Linked DNA regions of Canis lupus familiaris. The protein of the gene in region 1 purifies or fractionates together with the protein of each later gene. This does not show direct contact. Links are inferred from orthologs where the notes say so. Each region holds a gene or a part of one and is shown in the gene's direction. Other genes may lie near its edges. The genes, in order: AKT1, ILK, TUBB, ARRB2 and APPL1.

What was found.
Region 2: the proteins of AKT1 (region 1) and ILK purify together in Homo sapiens (affinity purification with western blotting; 3 studies listed by BioGRID). This does not show direct contact. The link is inferred for Canis lupus familiaris from reciprocal best matches to the Homo sapiens genes AKT1 and ILK.
Region 3: the proteins of AKT1 (region 1) and TUBB purify together in Homo sapiens (affinity purification with mass spectrometry, with the first as the bait; 3 studies listed by BioGRID). This does not show direct contact. The link is inferred for Canis lupus familiaris from reciprocal best matches to the Homo sapiens genes AKT1 and TUBB.
Region 4: the proteins of AKT1 (region 1) and ARRB2 purify together in Homo sapiens (affinity purification with western blotting; 4 studies listed by BioGRID and IntAct, with this or other methods). This does not show direct contact. The link is inferred for Canis lupus familiaris from reciprocal best matches to the Homo sapiens genes AKT1 and ARRB2.
Region 5: the proteins of AKT1 (region 1) and APPL1 purify together in Homo sapiens (affinity purification with western blotting; 3 studies listed by BioGRID, with this or other methods). This does not show direct contact. The link is inferred for Canis lupus familiaris from reciprocal best matches to the Homo sapiens genes AKT1 and APPL1.

What each region holds. Positions count from the first base shown.
Region 1 is NC_049229.1:72,734,916-72,738,856, reverse strand, and holds the start of AKT1 (RAC-alpha serine/threonine-protein kinase), read left to right. Parts: upstream 1-1,140; 5' UTR 1,141-1,184; intron 1,185-2,527; exon of another isoform or gene 2,528-2,546; intron 2,547-3,015; exon of another isoform or gene 3,016-3,139; intron 3,140-3,477; 5' UTR 3,478-3,570; coding exon 3,571-3,616; intron 3,617-3,941. UniProt on the Homo sapiens protein: AKT1 is one of 3 closely related serine/threonine-protein kinases (AKT1, AKT2 and AKT3) called the AKT kinase, and which regulate many processes including metabolism, proliferation, cell survival, growth and angiogenesis.
Region 2 is NC_049242.1:30,417,840-30,422,033, forward strand, and holds the start of ILK (integrin-linked protein kinase), read left to right. Parts: upstream 1-1,386; 5' UTR 1,387-1,514; exon of another isoform or gene 1,515-1,642; intron 1,643-1,927; exon of another isoform or gene 1,928-1,933; 5' UTR 1,934-1,979; coding exon 1,980-2,068; intron 2,069-2,266; exon of another isoform or gene 2,267-2,499; coding exon of another isoform or gene 2,500-2,507; intron 2,508-4,194. Other genes in the region: RRP8 (ribosomal RNA-processing protein 8), read right to left, coding at 1,068-1,166. UniProt on the Homo sapiens protein: Scaffold protein which mediates protein-protein interactions during a range of cellular events including focal adhesion assembly, cell adhesion and cell migration.
Region 3 is NC_049233.1:649,856-654,089, forward strand, and holds the start of TUBB (tubulin beta chain), read left to right. Parts: upstream 1-1,431; 5' UTR 1,432-1,631; coding exon 1,632-1,688; intron 1,689-2,994; coding exon 2,995-3,103; intron 3,104-3,323; coding exon 3,324-3,434; intron 3,435-3,728; coding exon 3,729-4,234. UniProt on the Homo sapiens protein: Tubulin is the major constituent of microtubules, a cylinder consisting of laterally associated linear protofilaments composed of alpha- and beta-tubulin heterodimers.
Region 4 is NC_049226.1:32,039,427-32,042,935, reverse strand, and holds part of ARRB2 (beta-arrestin-2), read left to right. Parts: intron 1-10; coding exon 11-41; intron 42-658; coding exon 659-719; intron 720-831; coding exon 832-876; intron 877-1,093; coding exon 1,094-1,380; intron 1,381-1,577; coding exon 1,578-1,637; intron 1,638-1,981; coding exon 1,982-2,049; intron 2,050-2,194; coding exon 2,195-2,330; intron 2,331-2,499; coding exon 2,500-2,584; intron 2,585-2,767; coding exon 2,768-2,840; intron 2,841-3,094; coding exon 3,095-3,232; intron 3,233-3,509. UniProt on the Homo sapiens protein: Functions in regulating agonist-mediated G-protein coupled receptor (GPCR) signaling by mediating both receptor desensitization and resensitization processes.
Region 5 is NC_049241.1:33,415,264-33,419,258, reverse strand, and holds the start of APPL1 (DCC-interacting protein 13-alpha), read left to right. Parts: upstream 1-1,191; 5' UTR 1,192-1,318; coding exon 1,319-1,372; intron 1,373-1,658; exon of another isoform or gene 1,659-1,741; intron 1,742-1,909; exon of another isoform or gene 1,910-2,089; intron 2,090-3,995. UniProt on the Homo sapiens protein: Multifunctional adapter protein that binds to various membrane receptors, nuclear factors and signaling proteins to regulate many processes, such as cell proliferation, immune response, endosomal trafficking and cell metabolism.

The sequences.
Region 1 (3,941 bases):
CTCTGACCCTGGATAAGGAACCGAAGTGGCCCTCTCCCCCACAGAACACACGCTCCTGGAGCGTAACTCGCGGAGTTTTCCTTTCACAAAAGGATCGCTAAGACTTGGAGGCCTCAGGGGTGGGGGGAGGGGCAGCTGTTGGAGAAATCTCTGGCTCTAGCCGAGTGCAGGGCCCGGGGAGGGGTCATCTGCAGTGTCCTCCCGCCTCGCCCGCGCCTCGCTGCCCACCCCTGCCCGGTGGACTGTGGGAGGCCGGGGCCCCACTGGGTGGCGGGCAGGGGCCTGGGCTGCCCTCTGACAGCCCTTCTCTGGGTGTCTGTCCCAGCCCAGGACAGGCACCGCCCGCCAGGTGTGCGCTGGAAGCCGCCACAGTCCCTGGGGCCCGCTTGTCCCGCTGTCACCGTGGGAAGCCCCCCATCTGCTCCTGTAGAGCTGTCGGTGTCTTGCTTCGGGGCCACGGGCAGCTCTGGGAAGGCGCGGCCAGGGATGGAGGGTCGTGCCCAGGGCAAGGTGGCTCTGCAGCCCGGGGGCCTGGGACCCCTCCCTCCGCAGCCCCCGTGTCCCGGGCGCGCATTGCAGCCGGGGTCCCAGGCCCCATGGGGGGGCCGGGTCGTGCCTCGGGCCTTTGAGGGTCACCTCGGCTGCGCCCCCCCCCCCGGGCATCCTCCCCCCGCGCACGGGGGCAGGAGCCCCGGGAAGGCCCCACCGGCCGCGGCGGAACCGGGCCGCGCCGGGAAACTGAGGCCGGGCAGCACGCGGCCGCGGGGAGCCTGGGCCGCCGCCTGCCGCCTGCCGCGCGCTCCCGGCGCCGCGCCCTCGCCCCGGCCGCGCCGGGGGCGCCCCGGGCGGCGGAGGCGGATGTGGGCGGGCGGCCGGGCGGGGCGGCGCGGGGCGGGGAGAGGGCGGGCCGGCGGCGGCGGCGGAGGCGGAGGCGGCGGCGGCGGGACGAGCGCGGCGGGCGGGCGGGCGGGCGGCCCAGCGCAGCCAGCGCAGCAGCGCAGCCGGGGGACGCGAGCCGGCGGCCGCCACGAGCACCGGGCCCGGCGGCGCGGAGCCCCGCCCGCCCAGCGCCCGCCCGCCGCGGCCTCCAGCCCGGCCCCGCCCGGCGGGCGCGCGGGGATGCGGAGCGGCGGGCGCCGGAGGCCGCGGCCCGGCTAGGCCCGCGCTCGGCCCGGAGGCGCCCGGTGAGTGCCCCGCCCGCGCCCCGGCCCGACTTCCTCCCGCGGGCGCTTTGTTGGCGGCGGCGGCCCGGGCGCGGCGGGGGCGGGGAGCGGAGCAGGAAGTGGCCGAGCGCGGCCTGGGCGGGGAGGGCGCGGGCCGGGCCGGGCCGGGCCGGGGCGGCGGGCGGCGGGCGGCGGGGTGCGGGGTGCGCCCGGCCTCCCTCCTGACCTTGGAGGCGGCGGCCGCGGGGCGCGGGGCGCTCGCGGGGTGCGGCGGCCGCGGCGAGTTTGCGGGGGGCCCCGCGGCGGAGCCCTCCGCGGCCGCGAGACGGAAAGTTGTACGTGATGGCGAGGTGCCCGGCGGCCTTTGTGGGCCGCGCCCGCTGCGGGCCTGCAGCCTGCGCCTGAGCGGTGGGCCCGGGGGCGCCGCCCACCCGGCCGGGGGTTCCTGCGCGCTGTCGGGGGGCGGGGGCCCGGGTGTGCCCCGAGCCCGGTGCAACGGGAGGGCGGGGGCGCCTGGCGGGCCTGGGTCCCCTGCCCTGCGCGAGCTGAGCCCGCGGCCCCACGGCGGCCTTTGGAGGCAGAGGAAGGGGCCCTGTGAGCGCAGGCAGCGCCTCCTGAGCCATCCCCTAAATAATAACGACGCTAGCAGCCCTCGGGGTGGAGGCCCTGGGGTCCGGAAGCCGTGGGAAACGGGGACCCCGTCCCTGCGGCCGTGCGCCCCGAGTGCGCCCCGAGGCTGCCGCGCTGGCCTGCTGCGTGCGTTTCTCTGCAGATGCACACCAGCCTGTGTGTGTGCACAGATATATTTTTACACGCGGGGCTCGACAGCTGTCTGACTCTGTCAGCCGCGGCCCCACGTAGGCCAGGGTGGGGGCGGGGGACATCCAGAGGTCTCCGAGGCCAGCCCTCTGCCTCCAGGCCACGCCCACTTGTGTCCCCAGAGGGGCCCCGGCCTGCCCCGGGGCTCGGGGCTCGGAGCCCTGTCCTTGGAGGTCTTGCTCCCCGCGCTCGGCTGCCGGTGGCCTGCGGGGCCCGTTGGGCACTTTCTCCCTGGGCAAAGTGTGTTCCCTGGCCTGGCGGTACACACAGCCAGCGGGGGCTTCTCGCTCTTCTAAATTTAGCCTAAGACCGTAGGTTCAGAGCAGCCTCCCCTGGGTCCTCACCCTGCCCCAGGAGGCCGGTAAGGTGCGTGGCCAGAGGGTGCCTAGGCAGCTGTAGGAAGAGCCGAGCTGGGCTCGCTGCGGAGGTCCCCTGGCGTCCTGGGCCCGAGGTCCCCGAGTCGAGAGGCTCCCGGGCTGCCCTCGGCAGTGCTCGCGTGGAGGGCTCGCAGAGGACTGCGCCCAGGAAGAGTGCTCTCTCCCAGGACGCACAGAGTGGGTGAAGGTGTGAACTGGGTTTTGAGGGATGCCTAGGAGTTCATCCAGCAGGGAGCGACGGGGAGGGCCCCTCAGGTTCAATGGCCAGAGTGTCTGCTCCAGGGAAGGCTGCTGGTGGGCCAGGGCGGGTGCCAGGGCCTCTGCATTTGTCTAGAGCACCCCCCCATTTGTTGCCTCCTGAATGCTGTAATTATGGGTCTGTGACCAGCCTGGACTGGGTGCTTCTCAGATGGGACCATGTGAACCTCTCTTTGTCCCCGGGGCCGAGCCTGGCGAAACCAGAGATGCCTGGTCCGTGCTGGCCGGATGAATGAACCAGATTCAGACCGGCAGGGGTGCTGTGGTTTAGGAGGGGCTTGGGGTTTCTTGGGGGGAGGTATTTTATGTCACCCTGGAGGGCTCCGGGCTCTCATTTGCGCCAGCCGCCTGGTCTCCTGGCCCTACTTTGTTCTGTTTGAATTTCTCCTCTTTCCTAGTCTGGGGCGAGAAGGAGGAACCCCGGCCTGTGGGCAGGGAGCTCAGGGGCACTCACCAGGGCCCTGGAGAGGCCAAGCAGCATAGACCAGAGCAGTCAGAGGGGCTGCCTGGAGGAGGTGGCAGGTTAGGGAGGCTGGGATATACCCGGAGGGCCTCTGGGGTGGGGAATGGTCTGTGGCCAGGCGGGGGGAAGTGGGAATGTAGGAGGGCCAGCAGACCCTGGGGACCTGGGGGTCAGAGAGGGGTGGCAGGGGGATTGCAGCCTCGGCCCCAGGGAGCAGGGCTGGTAACCTGGACTCTGTCGGGGGCCGTGGTGGGAGCCATGGGGAGTGGCTGTGGCTCAGGGCTGTGAGGGGGTGGGAGGACCCCGCAGGGGATCCTGGGTGCGCAGGGCCTCCTGGCCTCACCGTGGGGCTGGAGGGGTGGACACAACCTCACACGCTGCCCCTTGATTTTTCCAGAGGCTGGGTACGCCGGCTGGCCTCGGGGAGACCCTGCTGAGAGGGGCCAGCGAGGGGCGCTGGGGTGGCCCCGGCCCGCTGGAGCAGGGCGCCATGAACGACGTGGCCATCGTGAAGGAGGGTTGGCTGCACAAGAGAGGTCAGTGCCCGCGGGGCTTGGGGCTGGGGCAGGGGTCCCGGGGCCGGCTCCCCTCGGGTGGCCGGGCTGGCGTAGTGGCCGCCTGGCCGGGTCCCTAGGGCGGGAGAGCCACCGCCACCTCCCTGCCCGCTTTCCTGGAAGGCAGGGAGGCCACTGGGGCGCGTCCAAGGCCTGGCTCGCTGGCGGCCCGGGGCACTGCCCGAGGGCTCCTGAGGCCAGGGCTGAGGTGCTGCGCCTGGCCTGCTGCCCGCCTCGGGCCTGGGCTGGGGGGGCTCCGCACCACCCCGGGGCCCGGCACGGGGCGTGCATGTGCTGGAGCAGCGAG
Region 2 (4,194 bases), on another chromosome or scaffold:
GCATCTGGATTATTCCTTGTTAACTCCACTACTTTTCATAATGTCGGCCAGCCCCTGACCAACCTTTAAGTCACCATCTCAGCCTTTGGGAGGCTGGAAAGAAGAGAAACCACCCACCTCACTTCTTCAATTTGCAAATGAGAACATGGAAGTTCCCCAGAGGAATGTGGTAAGGCCACAAGTAACAGGACCAAGGCCAGAGAACAGAAGTTCCAACCCTCCATCTCAGGCTTTTGCCTCTAGGTGGTATCCTTCTATAAAAGGTAGGGAGGTTTCTGAAAACAAGAGTGACACAATCACAGGTGTGTATTTCACGTGAGTCTAGCTGTAGTGTAGAGAATAAACTGAAAGGGACAGGCTGTGGACCGAGAGACCAGGGGTGTTGATTACAGCAATGGGTTGAGGGGATGATGAAAAGGAATAAAGCAGGCTGATTCCACGCTGGACGCCGACTGAAAGGTAGGAAAAGCCTGCGGAAGTACAGCAGCTTTCACATATGCAAAGGCTTATAGGAGAAGGTCTCCTGTCCAGGAGGCCTTCTGGATTGAAGTCCTGCGGGGTGGCCCCAGCGCAGGCATTTAACCTGGAGGTTTTCAGTCCCCACGCCGCACCACTCCTTGAGAACGGTAGTGCTGGTAATCCTTCATGGTCATTCACTCTTGCTCTCTCCAATCCAGTCTCCACACCGCAACCAATGGCTTTTCCAAAATGCAAATCTTAAGAAATCACTCCCTGCTAAAACCATTTCATTGGCCTTTACCGTTAAAATCTGCAAAACTTCTACTCTGCCTCTCCAACTTCAAGGGCATACCCTCTCAGCTCTCTGTGCTCCAACCGCGCGGACTAGTGTGCGTGTGTCCCGAACAACCCGGACACGCTTCCCTGCCCCAGAGCCTTTGCACGTGCTTTCCCCGTCCAGACAACCGTGTTCACTAACTTCGGCTCAACAGCTCTCACTGAGTGGGATCTCGCGCCGGCCGCAGGCGCCCCGCCGCCCCGACACACTCACCCACACGCGGCGTGACCCAAAGCTCGGATCCACCTGCGTGGGCTTCTCGGCCGCTCACCTTGATCTGCGAGGCTGCGGCGGGCGGAGGCCGTGGAGCTACAGGCCGGAAGCCCGTCCCTGCTGGGGCCTCGTCGGCCCACTCTGGCTCCTCAAACATGCGGGTGGGGTGGGGGAGGCCGCGGGGTCCACACGCCTCTGCACGTGCAGGACGCGTCTCCAGCCCTCGGAGCGCGCGAACCGCCGGAACCGCGCCGGAGACCAAGGAGTGAGAGTCTGCGGGGCTAGAGCGGCCGGAGCGGCGCCGGAAACCATCGAGTTTAGCGCTGCTGGCTAGAAGGGCAAGGGAGGCGGGAGGCGGGAGGCGGGAGGGAGGGACGGGGGGAGGGAGGGAGGGAGGGGGGGAGGAATGGGCCCGCGCTGGCCGCAGAGGGCCAGGGGCGGGGCTGCGCGGCGGGCGCGGCCAGACGGGAGTTCCCCGAAGAAGGCTCCTCCAGCCCGAGTCCCGGTGAGTGCGGGAGCACCCGTTCCCCTCCCCGAGGCCCGACCCCGGCCGGCTCGCCGGCCTCCGCGCGGCCCGAATACCGAGCAGGGAACGAGGGCCCCCCGGGAAGGACCCCCGTCGCCTCTCGCAGGGTACCGGGCGCCCGACTCCCCTCCCCCCAGCTCAGTTCGCGGGCGGGTCCCAGAGCGCGTTCGCCGACACCCCTCCGTCGGGGACTCTACCTCCGAACCACCCCCTACCTCGCGCGGACCCGCCTTCCTCTGGCGCCCAGGGACACAGCCAGGGACCATCCCGCCTCCCTGAACTGCTTCCCAGATCTCCAGGAGCCGGGGAGGAGCGGGAGACCCCCACCCCCTACACGAACACTTCTCTCCGGTAGGGGACAGAGCTCGGGGTTCACCCCCCTGCCTGACTCTCCACAGTCCCCAGGCTTCCCCAGTCTAGGGCGCTCAGCGCCGGGACGCTGCTATGGACGACATTTTCACCCAGTGCCGGGAGGGCAACGCGGTGGCCGTTCGCCTGTGGCTGGACAACACGGAGAACGACCTCAACCAGGGGTGAGCTGACGTGGCTGGTGGGTGAGAAGGGCAGAGACAAGCTCCTCTCCGCAGTGTGGGGTGCTCACGTCGGCTGGGGGCGGCTGGCTTTCCTACCCTGTGCGACCAGTGCAAAGCACAGCCTGTGGGGGGCAGAGGGTTTCCACAGAGGAAGCTGTGTTTCTGCTGAATTTTGACCGCTCAACAAGAGTTTTTCAGGCGCAGGGTGCAGAGAGCTTTCCAACCTCAGTGAACTGCATCGGCAAAATATAGGAGGCAAGACAGTGAGCAGAGAATCTGGAAATTGTCCACCGGTCCATATGCCCGGAGGATAGAAGACTTCTGTGAGCTTCTATGGATTGAAGCTTTGGGTACAAGTGGTAAACCACCGAAGATAAGACTGGAGGGGTCGGCTGCAAGGGTCAGCCAGATCATGCAAGGATATTTACACTATGATAAGGTCATTAACGTTAAGAGCAAGGGTTTAAAGCCCCTCTGTGATATGATGAGATTGTCCACTTAAGTGTCCTCTTGGATACCTTTTAAAGAGCAGGTGGCCATGTGGAGAGGCAATTGCTAAGTCTGTCCCAGGAGCGGTGATGCCTTAGACTAGAATGGGGGCAGATGAAAAACAAGTGCTTGGATTCCTGAAATCTTTAGTGTAAATAATTGATAAGACTTGGTGTGGGGAGTGAGGAAGGTCAAAGATGATGACCAGGGTTCTGGCTCAGACACTTGGGTAGATAGTTGCTTTTACTGAGTTGGACAAGGCTGAAGGATGATGAGTGCTGCTGTGACATGGTAAAGTAACTGTACAGCAGAGTGGAAATGTTGAGTAGGTTGTTGGTTATGCAGATTTGCAGTTCAGGAGAAATCTGACTTGGAGACACAGATTTGGGAGATGTTAGCATATAGATGATACCTGAAGACATGGGTGTGAAGGAGAGGGAATGAGAACTCTGCAAGGCTAACTAAAAAGGTGCCATTGGAGGTTGCAGAAGAAACAGGAAAATGTTAGTAAAGCTCAGAGAAGTGAGTGTTTCAATGAAGGGGGAGTGGTCAACAGTAGTTTAGGCTGTTGAGAAGTCAAAAAACTTGAGCACTTTAAAGTAACTGTTGAATTTACAATAATGAGTATTTGATGATCTTTGCGAAGGCTGCCTTAGAGGAAAATGGATGAAGAAATCAAACAACACTGGGTTCCTTCTTTAAAGTGCTGGTTAAACACCTCCCATGCTAGAGGCCCAGACATACTGCCAGCCCTCAAGGCAGCAAGCAGCCTGGTGGCAAGTTGAATGGGAGGTGAGGAAATAGAGAGTGAACGTAGACAAGTTCTTCAAGGTTGGCTGAGACAAGGAGGCTTTTGGAAAAGCAGTAGTGATGTTGATGATTCAGGATGGTGGGTTTTCAGGGTTTTTTATTTTAAAATTTTATTCAGTTTTTAGGTTTGAGGAGTAAGGATCACCTGTCATCTTCATCCAGCTTTCCCAGGTTCTCAGTAGGCTCTATGCTATTCCTCATAATTCTTGGTCACTTTTCCATTTTTCATATTTTTACATAATTTCCATAATTCTTTCATAATTCTTCAAAGGGTGCTTAGATGAAGACTGAGCACTCTTACTATTTTGTTGGTAGGGTCATAAAGGTTTATGTGAAGTTGCCCAGGGGCACTTGATGCATTGTATAAAACCCTGGTGCCAAAGGGTGAATGGGTGGCATCACTGAAACTGGAAGGCTTTGGTGCTGGTTTGCGGGGATAGGCTTTGGGGGCCCAAGCACCCTATATTGCAGGATATTAAGTGTGGTGAACTCCCTGCAGGGCTTTCAGGATTATAGTCTGTGGTCCTGAGGTGACAGGCAGCCGAACAGCAGAAACCTTGTGCTCATACTTTTGCCCTCAGGCTCTGGCCAGTCCTGCCACACAAACTTCAGGCTGATAAACCAGGGCACAAATTAGAGCTGGGAGGCAAAACTCACTGATTAAGTAGGGGAGGATAGTTGCTTCAGAGAGGGGGAGGTGGGGATAATCCACCTCTGGGAAAGCTTTTGACTATCTCTAAAGTGAACAGATGAGGGCAGCTGTGGAGGAAAGTCATTAAAGGCCACGCCCCCCACTCTCATCCCCCGGGAGAGGGGGACATCTGGGT
Region 3 (4,234 bases), on another chromosome or scaffold:
GCAGGCTCCATGTAGGGAGCCCGATGTGGGACTCGACTCCGTGTCTCCAGGATCACGCCCTGCGAAGGCGCGCTAAACCGCTGAGCCACCAGGGCTGCCCTAAGAACCCCTTTTGATGGGGGAACAGAGGACTGGCTGAGGACAAAGCACAAGCCCAGGGCAGCACATTGACAAGCCCTTGAAACAGGCAGAGGGACCTTCCTCTACGGACTCAACTGCCTCGATGTTCATACTTTGCTAAGGAGAAAAGGCAATCTTAGCCCAACCCCCAGGATCCTGTAAGTCTTTTTAACATAAAAATTCCTTTAGAAAGATCCTTTATCTAAACCCACAAGATACATGTTGGCAATCATCCCCTAAGCACATGGCCCACCCACACACATCTAAAGGGTCTCACGAATCAGGTTTTATTAGCCGGTAATAAGTGACCTTTTCCCAACAATAGCTGGTCCCCTCAAGGTCCTGGAAACCTTGCTTCCAAATTCCTTAGAGAGTACGCTATCCTCAAACCCCTCCCAACTCCCAGGTATATAATCAGCCACCCCTCACCGGGCAGCAGCTCTTCCTGCCCACGGGTCCTGTCCCCCTGCTTTAATAAAACCACCATTTTGCACCAAAGATGTCTCAAGAATCCTTTCTTGGTCGTCGGCTCCGAACCTCACCTTATAATTCCAAAAACTTCATCACTTTCATGGATAGACTTCTGACTTCACAGATTCTACATACCAGCTTTTCTAAACCATTCAATTTATTTGAACACACCCTCAATTACATCTCTACTCTGAAAACCTATTGCTGCATTTTTGTTTCTCTTTCTAAACATTATCATTAGAAAATTTCCAAGGAAATAACAGGAGGGCCATCCCGTTTTTCCTATCTGGGGGAGCAGCGGCTTCCTGGATTTCATGCCGTGGGTCACCGAAGGACCCGCTGTTTGCTACCAGAGCAGGGTGCCGCATTTCTCCCCAGTTTTAGCTGAGCTAAGCAGCCCTCTTACCAAGAGCTACCGCAGCAGGGAACGTTCAGGGCGTGCCCACTTCGCCTTCCAACTCCTGGCACCCCAGGGTTCCCAATGCCTGTATCCCCCCCAAATGACTCCCTTTTAGTACAAAAAACTCAAGTGTAGGGGAAAGAAATTTGCGCAAGGTCATTTTTCATTAAAAAACAACAACAAGGCCAACTCTACCCCCCCCCCAACCAAAAATCCAGTATCCACTCATCCCTCCCTTCATTTTCCAGCGTAGACAACAATGGAGGACTACGACTCCCAGGGAGGCCAGCGTTCATCCACCCGAGCGGAGCCCAATAGACGAGACCTACGTGACCGGCACTGACCAATCGGGGCCCACTCCAGCGAGGCTTTGTCTGCCTGCCGCGGCGCGGGCGCTCTCCCGCCTGCAGCCTCCGCGCACGCGCGCCCCGCCCTGCCCGCCTTTCCTCCTTCTTCGCCCTCCCCGCTTCTTTCTACATCTCAACGTTCCTGTCGCTGCGCTCGGACCTCGTTGCTCCAGCCTCTGGACGCGTCCCATCCTTCCAGCCTGCGAATTGCAGTATAGGAAAAAACCCCATCTCACTTTCTGCCCCGTACACACCTTTGAGAGAAGCAAAAAGAATTAAAATAAATTTTAACAATGAGGGAAATCGTGCACATCCAGGCCGGTCAGTGTGGTAACCAGATCGGTGCCAAGGTAAGGATTTTAAGCCTTTTCTTTTAACTATTTTTTTTTTAGAAGAAAAACAAATCCAGCTAAATGATGAAGAATGTGGGACATATTTGCGTTCCATCCATTGTCCCGCTTTGCCCTCAAAAGTTTTCCATATACAATACACGGTTGCAGCTAGAATTTACTTTTGAAAAATGGGGGAATTGTACTTGGCTGGCTAATTTTGGGTGAGCTTTTGAGGACGTTTCGGGTTTGGAGTCGGAAGACTGGCTCTTTAAAATTTTACTTGAAAGTGTTGTAGTGGTCCGAGGAACGGGGAGAGAGGAGATGCGGAAACGGTCCGAGATACAGCGCGGAGAGGCTGTCCCCGTGTGCATCCCCTCCGCGGGGGGGGGCCCGGCTCCACGGAAGGGAGGGGGACAGGGAGCGCGGCTGGGCGGCGGCCGCGGGGTCCTGGGCCCACGGTGGGGAGGGGGGCGCGACGCGCCAGGGTGGGCTGCACCGCGCGGTGCCCGCCCCAAAAATGAGGGCAGTCCGCGAGGGGCGGTCCCGTAGGCCCTTGTGGATGGAAGATTGGTCCCTGCAGTATTAATTTCCTTTCATCTCCAGTAAAGAGACCCTTTTAGGGCGTGCACCGATATGGAGAAAGAGGGCGGGAGGATCCTTTTCTTTCAAGGGTCCCTCAGGGCTAAACGGTGGGAGAAGGGCCGAGAAGCCGTACTTAAAGCCAGGTATAACAAGCTAGCCAAGGAAGAAAATCGGAGGCTCAAGCGGGAGGTGGGGGTAGTTTCTTTTTCTGCGCGCGGTTACAGTGTGGCGGGGGCAGGGCAGGGAGGAAGTCCTGCTGCTACGTTGTAGCCCGGGGCTGGGCGGGGCGGGGCGGGGCTCCAAGCGCCGGGCTGGCCGGCTGGGGGCGCGCTAGCGGCACAGGCCCCCGCCCACGCGCGACGCCTCCCTTTGTCAGCGCCGACGGGCGGGCGCCGCAGTCACGTGGAGGGGCGTCCACTGCGGCGGCTTCTGTCCCTCGCCCCGGCTCGTGCGCGGGGGGAGGGTGTGCCGGTCGGCTCGGCTCGGAAGCCTCCGCCCGGCACACCCCCACCGCACCGCGTCCACCGGTCGCCGGGCCTCCGCGGCTGCACCCGAGCAGTGGACGCTGCAGCCCTTAGGGGGCTGCGGGTGTCTGGTGGAGGGCGCGGCAGGCAAGCAGAGCGCCCGGTAGGCGGCGGAGGTGCGCTCTCCGTGTGCGTGTTTGCACTTGAAATGTGTCGGTCGGGTGGGCATCACTGGCTGGGACCAGAGCTGTGCAAGTCTCCCTGCTCTTCCTCGGCAGTTCTGGGAGGTCATCAGCGATGAACACGGCATCGATCCCACCGGAACCTACCACGGTGACAGCGACCTGCAGCTGGATCGCATCTCCGTGTATTACAACGAAGCTACAGGTGAGGGCGGGAACGGGGAACGCGGGGCTCCCACTTCTCCGGGGTCTCCTTTCCAGCCCTGGAGAACCCACCTTGGGATGGGTCTGATTTTTAAAGAAGGTCTTACCCTGATTTGACTTCACGGTGGGGCAAAAGATCAGCTCTGCTGCCCCCTGGTGTCCTCCAGCTCAGCTCCATTTGGTCTTCTAGTCCACCAATTCTTATTCTTTCTTCCATATAGGTGGCAAATACGTACCTCGTGCTATCTTGGTGGATCTAGAACCTGGGACCATGGACTCTGTTCGCTCTGGTCCTTTTGGGCAGATATTCAGACCAGACAACTTTGTTTTTGGTGAGTTATGCACATATTAGTAGTGCTATTCAGTGTATTTGAAGGAAGGAGACTGCAAGAGCTAAGAAGTTATTTTTAATGCTGGAGCGTTTATCTGGGGATATGTTTTGAGATCTCTAACGCAGGGTGTTGGGAATGACCGCCTTAGATGGTAGATACTGAGGCAGGGATGTATCACAGGTGAGTAAGAAAAAAGGCACATTCGTGTATGTTATTTTAAAAGCTGAAGAGTGGAAATGGTCCTTTATCTTTGATGCTTTGCTAATAAAGAGAATTTTGTTCACCTCATTCCAGGGCAGTCTGGGGCTGGCAACAACTGGGCCAAGGGCCACTACACAGAGGGGGCTGAGCTAGTGGACTCAGTCCTGGATGTGGTGCGGAAGGAAGCTGAGAGCTGTGACTGCCTGCAGGGCTTCCAGCTGACCCACTCACTGGGTGGGGGCACAGGCTCTGGCATGGGCACGCTGCTCATCAGCAAGATCCGAGAAGAGTACCCTGACCGCATCATGAACACCTTCAGTGTGGTGCCCTCCCCCAAAGTGTCTGACACGGTGGTTGAGCCCTACAATGCCACTCTCTCTGTCCATCAGTTGGTAGAGAACACGGATGAGACCTATTGCATTGACAATGAGGCCCTGTACGACATCTGCTTCCGCACCCTCAAGCTGACCACGCCAACCTATGGGGACCTCAACCACCTTGTCTCAGCCACCATGAGTGGTGTCACCACCTGCCTCCGCTTCCCTGGTCAGCTCAATGCTGACCTCCGCAAGCTGGCAGTCAACATGGTGCCCTTCCCA
Region 4 (3,509 bases), on another chromosome or scaffold:
GTTTTGTTAGGGTCTTCAAGAAGTCAAGCCCTAACTGCAAGGTGAGTCTCCCAGGCTGCTTTTCCTCTCTGGGCCCCTGCAAGGCCCAGCCTGCCCCTAGCCAATCCCCAACCCCTGGCTCCCCACTTCCTGTGACAGCTAAGAGCTGACTTCCTTCCCTCCTGAAGCCCCTTGCCACAAAGGCCGCTCAACCTGAGCCAGCCACGGGGCTGGGTGGGGAAGGTCTGTGTCCCTCGGCAAGATGCAGGGGGAGGGGCCAGGAGCCCTAGGCTGTACCCCTTTGAGGAGCCAGCTTTCCCAGGGCTGGGAAGGGTCAGCAGCTCCCCAGGCTATGGCCTGCGTCTCCCAGAGCCCCTGGAGGGGAGCCAGCAAGGCCATACCCTGCTCTCTAGCTGACCTACCTGTGGCCTGTCCCACCACTACCCCGCCCCACCACTCATACACACTTCACACTTGCCTGACTTATGGGCAGAGGTGTGAAGAGCTTCAAGGTTGGGGACCCTGGGAAACTCCACTGTTCTGCCCTTCTGAGCCCGCTGGGAGGAGACCCCAAGGATACTTCAGCCTGGAAGGACTAGGGGCAGGGCAGGCACCCTGAAGGGCTCTGATGCCCCTCAACCTCCCACCCTATCTTCCCTGTGCCCCTCTGTACCCTTAGCTCACTGTGTACTTGGGCAAGCGGGACTTTGTGGATCACCTGGACAAAGTAGATCCTGTGGGTAAGTGTGCCCAGAAAGCAGCAGCAGGTGCCCTGGGAGGAGGAGAGGCTCCTGGGCCCAGGGATAGTGGGGAGGCCCTGGCAGGAAACGAGCTCATGTGTTCCCCTCCCAGATGGCGTGGTGCTCGTGGACCCAGACTACTTGAAGGATCGCAAAGGTACTGGCCAGGTGGAGGGGGCCTGGGGAGGTGGGGTGCGCTGGCACTGACACGACCCCGGGGACATGGAGGGCCAATCCCAGACATGGAGAGTCGACTCCAGGGACACAGAGGGCAGGGACAGAAGGGGAAGTGGGTTTGGGCAGCTTTGATGCTGCTAGGGGCCGGGGGGCTGGGGCTAAGGGTCCTGACCGCCCCCCCTTGCCCTCCCTCTTAGTGTTTGTGACCCTCACCTGCGCCTTCCGCTATGGCCGCGAGGACCTGGATGTGCTGGGCCTGTCCTTCCGCAAAGACCTGTTCATTGCCACCTACCAGGCCTTCCCCCCCGGGCCCAACCCACCCCAGCCCCCCACTCGCCTGCAGGACCGGCTGCTGAGGAAGCTGGGCCAGCATGCCCACCCATTTTTCTTCACAGTGAGGATGCTCCTCACCCTGTACAGGGCAAGGGGTCTAGGGCTGAGCTTGGGGGGTGGGCACCTGTCACAGATGGATCTGGAAGAAACAGTGAGGACCCCCCTGCCCTGTCACTTCAGGGTCACCCAGCACCCTTGTCTCTGCATCCTCCCTGGGGTCCCCCCTTCCTTCTTCCTCTCTCACCCCCCCCCCCGCCTCCTTTTCCAGACTCTTAGTTGGGATTGGGAGAAATTTTGGTGGGGGGGGCTCTTGGGAAGAACTGAAGCCTCCCCTTGCCTCCACCACAGATACCCCAGAACCTGCCCTGCTCTGTCACCCTGCAGCCGGGCCCAGAGGACACGGGGAAGGTAGGGCAGGGATGGCTCTGAGGGCTCAGGACAGCACAGGGCCCAGCGGGAGCTGGGGATACCCCGGGAAGGGGCTGTTGGGGAGCAGCCTGGGCAGGACAGGGGATCCTGGACCCCGGGGCCGGGGGTGACCTTGCACAGACAGGAACAGTGCCCTGCCCAGTAGACTGGGTGTCGGGGGCAGGGGCAGAGGACGGAGCCCCCAGCCCTGTGTGCCTCACACCAGACTGCAATGGGGCAAGAACCCCCCACCCCCACCCCCGAGGCAAGGCGAGGGAAGAGGGAAGGAAGGGTGTGGTGGTGTCAGGAGCCTTGTGTAAGATGTGACCTTTTCTCCCTCCCAGGCCTGTGGAGTAGACTTTGAGATCCGAGCCTTCTGTGCCAAATCTCTAGAAGAGAAAAGCCACAAAAGGTGAGGGGATGTGAGCTCCCCTGTGGTCTGACCCTTCCCTCCCCGCTCCCCGGAGCCCCAGGCACCCCCGCCCCTCCATCAGACCAGCAGTGGGGGTCTGGGTATCTAAGGACCGGCCCCTCCCTCCCCTCCTCCCCACCCCCAGGAACTCTGTGCGGCTGGTGATTCGAAAGGTGCAATTTGCCCCGGAGAAACCCGGCCCCCAGCCATCAGCAGAAACCACACGCCACTTCCTCATGTCTGACCGGTCCCTGCATCTAGAGGCTTCCCTGGACAAAGAGGTGGGGTGCAGGAGGGTGGCACAGGTGCCGCAGCGTGCATAGCCCCCTGGCCGAGGCCTGAAGCTGGCTGCCAGGACCCCGGGTGTCTGTGTGTGGGGCAGGCGGGAGGAACGCTGATCATGAGGCTGGTGCCAGCAGACAGCACTAACTGGACCCTTCCCCTCAAAAGCTGTACTACCACGGGGAGCCCCTCAACGTCAACGTCCACGTCACCAACAACTCCACCAAGACCATCAAGAAAATCAAAGTCTCCGGTAAGCGGGGTGACAGAAGGGGAATTGAGGGGGGTTTTGGGGGTGCCCATGTGGCTCCTGGTCATGTTGGCCCCAGGGACACACCCCAGAATTAGATGCAGCCTGGGGTGGTGGGGGTGGGTCCCAGCGGGGCAGCAGCCTGAGCTTCCTGCACGGCTGCTTCACCACCCCCTCACCCCACAGTGAGACAGTATGCTGACATCTGCCTCTTCAGCACTGCCCAGTATAAGTGTCCTGTGGCTCAGATCGAACAAGAGTGAGTAGCAGGATGGCCAGAGCCCCACCTTAGGGCAGGACCATAGGCAGGGGTGGGGGGTGATGGGGTGAGGATGGAATGAACCCACTCTACCTACAAGGAAGGGGATTCCCTCCATCAGCAGGTGGCTCTGAGCACATCCTACTCCTCATACCTGCAGCCCAAACACAAAAGGGTGGGTGGTAGTGGAGAAGCCGCTGGGGGTGGGCATCTGGCCCCTCCTAGAGCCTCGTTCTCTTGCTCCCACCCCCCAGTGACCAGGTGTCACCCAGTTCCACATTCTGCAAGGTGTACACCATCACCCCGCTGCTCAGTGACAACCGGGAGAAGCGCGGTCTTGCCCTGGACGGGAAGCTCAAGCATGAAGACACCAACTTGGCCTCCAGCACCATGTGAGACCAGGCTGGGTGGGGGCGGGGGTGTGGGTGGGGTTTGGGGCGTCCCCCCTCTGCAGCCTAGGGCGTACATGCCCCTTCAGGGCCGGCTGCGTGTCAGGCTGTGTCCTGGGTGCCGGGGCTTGATCGGGGAACAGAGCAGGTGGAGCTTCTAGGCAGGGAAGACAGATAAGGGATGAGTGCTGAGAAGCAGCAGGTTAGAGATGGGAGATAGTAGGGGGCAGGGAGCGGGCAGGGTGCAGCCACTGTAAATAAAGTGGCTGGGGGAGGCATG
Region 5 (3,995 bases), on another chromosome or scaffold:
GAGCCAGCCAGGTGTTCCTAACGGCTAGAATTTTACAAGACACTTATGATTTTGCCATTTTCTTTGCATACTGATGAAAACTTCTTGTGACTCTACAGAGAAATGCATGAGGCAGTTGTGAGGTTGGGGAAGAAGGACAAAGAACCAGGAATTCTAACCCAGACCAGGTGTTGGAATCAGAGCTTCACTCTTCTTTACTGTAAAATTAGAGGCTGAAGAAGCTATTGAAAACTTCTTCCACAACTTTTTGATCTAACAGATATGCCTGTCAGCTACCCACATAATTAACCAGTGTGTGCTAAACTTTAAAAGATGTTTTCTGGGCAGCCCGGGTGGCTCAGCGCTTTAGCGCCTGCCTTCGGCCCAGGGCGTGATCCTGGAGACCCAGGATGGGGCCTGCTTCTCCCTCTGCCTGTGTCTCTGCCAATCTGTCTCTCTCTCTCTCTCTGTGTGTGTCTTTCATGAATGGATGAATAAAATTTAAAAAAAATCGATTTAAAAAATAATTTAAAAAAAAGATGTTTTTGTTTGTGATTTATAACAACTACTGAAGTCTGAATTGAGGCACCGTAGCCCTTCCAGGCCAGGTAAGAATCGATGAATCGATAATAAAGTCTCATGTTTTTAACTGAATATACTGATATCCAAGTGCCCAGAAAAATAACTGCGGGTCTACCGTCCATACATTTACTGGGAAGCCTGCTAGTGACCCAGCTTGGGATCCCACAGCCGGCTGAGCGGGCCAGCACCCTGTCGCCGGGAGGGTGGGGGTGGGGAGCAGACTGGACGCTGCGGGCAGGGTTGCGAAGGTTGTAACTGGAGCAAGAAAGGCCCCCGGCAGTAGGGCCTCTTCCGTGGTCTCTGATGAAATGTTGCAGGAGGAGTAAAGACACCCCAAACTCCCCGGGGTGGTGGTCCTCAGACGAGGCTCTGGTTCGCTGAAAGGCGAGAGACGGTCCCCCACAATTTGCATCAACAGGCGCGCGCAGGGCGGACGGTCGCAGCGAGCAGTCAGCGCCACCCGCGAGGCCGCCGCTCACCACAGCACCCAGAGCCGCGAAGGAACCTCCGGGCTAGCCCCGCCGCGCTGACGGGCGTCGCTGCGAGCCAATGGGCGCGCCGGGAGGCGGGGCAGGGCGGCCGAGGGGGCGGGATTTCCCGCGCGGCCGCTCGGCGCCTGGCGAGAGCGGCGCGGGCGGCGACGGCGGCCGCGCCTGCGAGAGAGGGCGGGTCGGGGTCAGCTGCTGCAGGCGGGCGGGCGCGGCGAGCTGTGGGCGGCTGCCGTGTCTCCTCCTGCCGCCGCCCTCCCTCCGCCACGATGCCGGGAATCGACAAGCTGCCCATCGAGGAGACGCTGGAGGACAGCCCGCAGGTGAGGCGCGGGCGGCGGCGGGAGGCGAGGGAAAGAGCAGGGCGGGCCGACCCCAGGCCTGGCGCCGCGGCGGCCGCAGGTGCCCGCCCCGGCCCAGGTGGGCGCCGCCGTCCAGTGCCCCCGCCCGTCGCGGGCCGCGCCCCGGGTCGCCGCGGCCCGGCCGCCAGCCCGAGGCCCGCGTGGGCCTGCGCCGCTGGGCCGAGAGAGCCACCCGCGAGGTCTGGGACGTCGGCGGGCGGCGGCCGAAGCTCCGCCGCCCGCGCTCGTGGGCCCGGCGGTCACGTACGTTCGCGGGGGCTCCCTCGTATTTGACGAAAGGTGCGTTTTCATCGCCGTCATCTAAGGTCGTAAATTCCAATCCTGGGATCTCTTCGGAGGAAATGCAGAAGGAGGAAAAAAATAAAAAAATAAAACAGCACCCCCTCACCCCCTCACCCCCTCACCCCCCGTAGACTTATCCCACGACCCCTGAGCAAGCCCTTGGGGAAGGAAATGGATAGTGTTCCCTCCGGAGTTGCAGGAACGCTGCTGATTTACCCGCCTGGAGAGTCCTCGGCGAAGCCCGTCCTGTGCCTCGGAGCCTCCCCGCGGACTGTGTCCCGCGTCGTGGCCGCGGCTGTGGCCGCTGTCACTCGAGCTGTGCACGGCCGGTGACGGACGGACGGCGCCTTCGCGGCGGCACGACCAACTGCTGCGCGGAACGGTGCAGACTTGGCCCTTAATAAACTCATCAAAATAAAAGCCCCGTGTTTTGTGCTCGGGAGCGGGTGGGAGGGGTAATGCTAATGCGGTTGCTGGAGCCCCGAGACGGTCCAGGGAAACCTAGCAATTTGTTAACGTGTTCGATATTGAAGAACGAGATGAATTACATTTAAAATTACATGTTGGTAGGGCGCTGTAACTTGCATCGGGAGACCTCATCCTCAAAGCCTGTCTCCTACACAAGTGATTTAAGCGATTTAGGACCGTGTTGCTGGTTGGCCACCTCTGAAATGGTGCGCATTCAGAACTACCATTGCATACATTTCACGCGTGTCTTGACGGTTTAATATGGCCCCAAAAGATGAGGAAGTAGGGGCTAGGTCCCCCTGGCCTGTGTGACACGTCTGCTGTGACTTTGTGCCAATTTTAATTGCCAAGTGGAAGTCGGGCTCTGATTGTGGAATTGATTTTTTTTTTTTCCCCATGCCGAAAGTTATCTTCACAGGCCAGTTGTTTGCTGGTAATGTACTCTTATCAGCCTAAACTGACACAGAGAGAAACCCGCATCTTGGTTTATCTTGACTGCCAGAATAGCTAGTTCAAATTCTTTTTTTTTTTTTTTTTTTTTTTTGCTAGTTCAAATTCTTATTGATATCTGAAGTATAAAGTTAGGAGATGTATTTGTTTCAGATGTTTTGTAAAGGTTTTGTGGTACGAGTTGGTCAGGTGCACTTTGTCATCTTTTATTATGTAAGGCTCAACAGGTTGCTGTACCTTTTCTTACCTGGCCTGGTTTTTATAGCCCATAAATCTTACACGCAGGCCACAATGGGTGCCCTTGCCACGACTTGTGAGGAGGATAAAATGTGACTCATCTAATTTCTCGAACTTTTCACACAGTTTACAAATTGAGCATTCTTTTTTTTTTAAATTAAGTATGTGCCATATTAGTATCAGTTTTATAGTAATTTTTTAATGAAATAGCTGCCTTGATACTCTTTCAGTTTCTTTAAGTGATAACTTGAACTAGGTACTTTGGAAAATTAGGATAAATGGGATTTAGAAAGGGAAGACGTGGGACAGGTGGGTGGTTCAGTGGTTGAGTGTCTGCCTTTGGCTCAGGGCAGATCCCGGAGTGCCGGGATTTGAGTCCTGCATCTGGCTTATTGCATGGAGCCTACTTATCCCTCTGTCTCTCTCTGTGTGTCTCTCATGAATAAATAAATAAAATATTTTAAATTAAAAAAAAAAAAAAAAAGGGAAGATGCCTGGAAGTAATACTTAGGGAAAACTTATGGTACGATGGAAAGCCCTAGATTCTGGGATTCAGGATATAAGGGTTTTAGTCTTCACTGTGACTTCACTTTAGGGCAAGTCACTCAACTTCTCAAAATCTTAGCTGTTATAGTGAATGTTTTTATTTTTGTACCTGATTATAAAAGACATAGTCATGAAAGAAAGAAAAATTGGAAGGTACAGGAAACAGTTACCTGTCCTGCACCCAGCAGCAAACCCTGTTAACTGTGTTTCCTCATTTGCTTTTATATATTTTAATGTAATTGAAGTTATATTGTGCATAACAATTTTTAATCTGCTTTAACTTAACAATGTAGTGTTAAGCATGTTCACGTATTAAATTCTGAATAAAAAAATTTAAAGGCTGCATGTTTTTTCATGTGACTTAACAGCTGTCCTACTGTTGGACTTAAAGTTTTTCATAAGTTTTGTTTTTACATATAGGACTGAGGTTAATGCTTTGGGGCATAAATTTTTGTCCTCATTTGGAATATTTATTTAGGATAGAGTCCAGGAAGTTGAGTAGCAAAGCGTATGAAAACTTTTAAAGTTCCTGGTATAGAGAAGTTTTTATTTAGATCATTAGATCCTAACCAGAAGTGGTCTGCCAGTGCTGAGAAAAAAA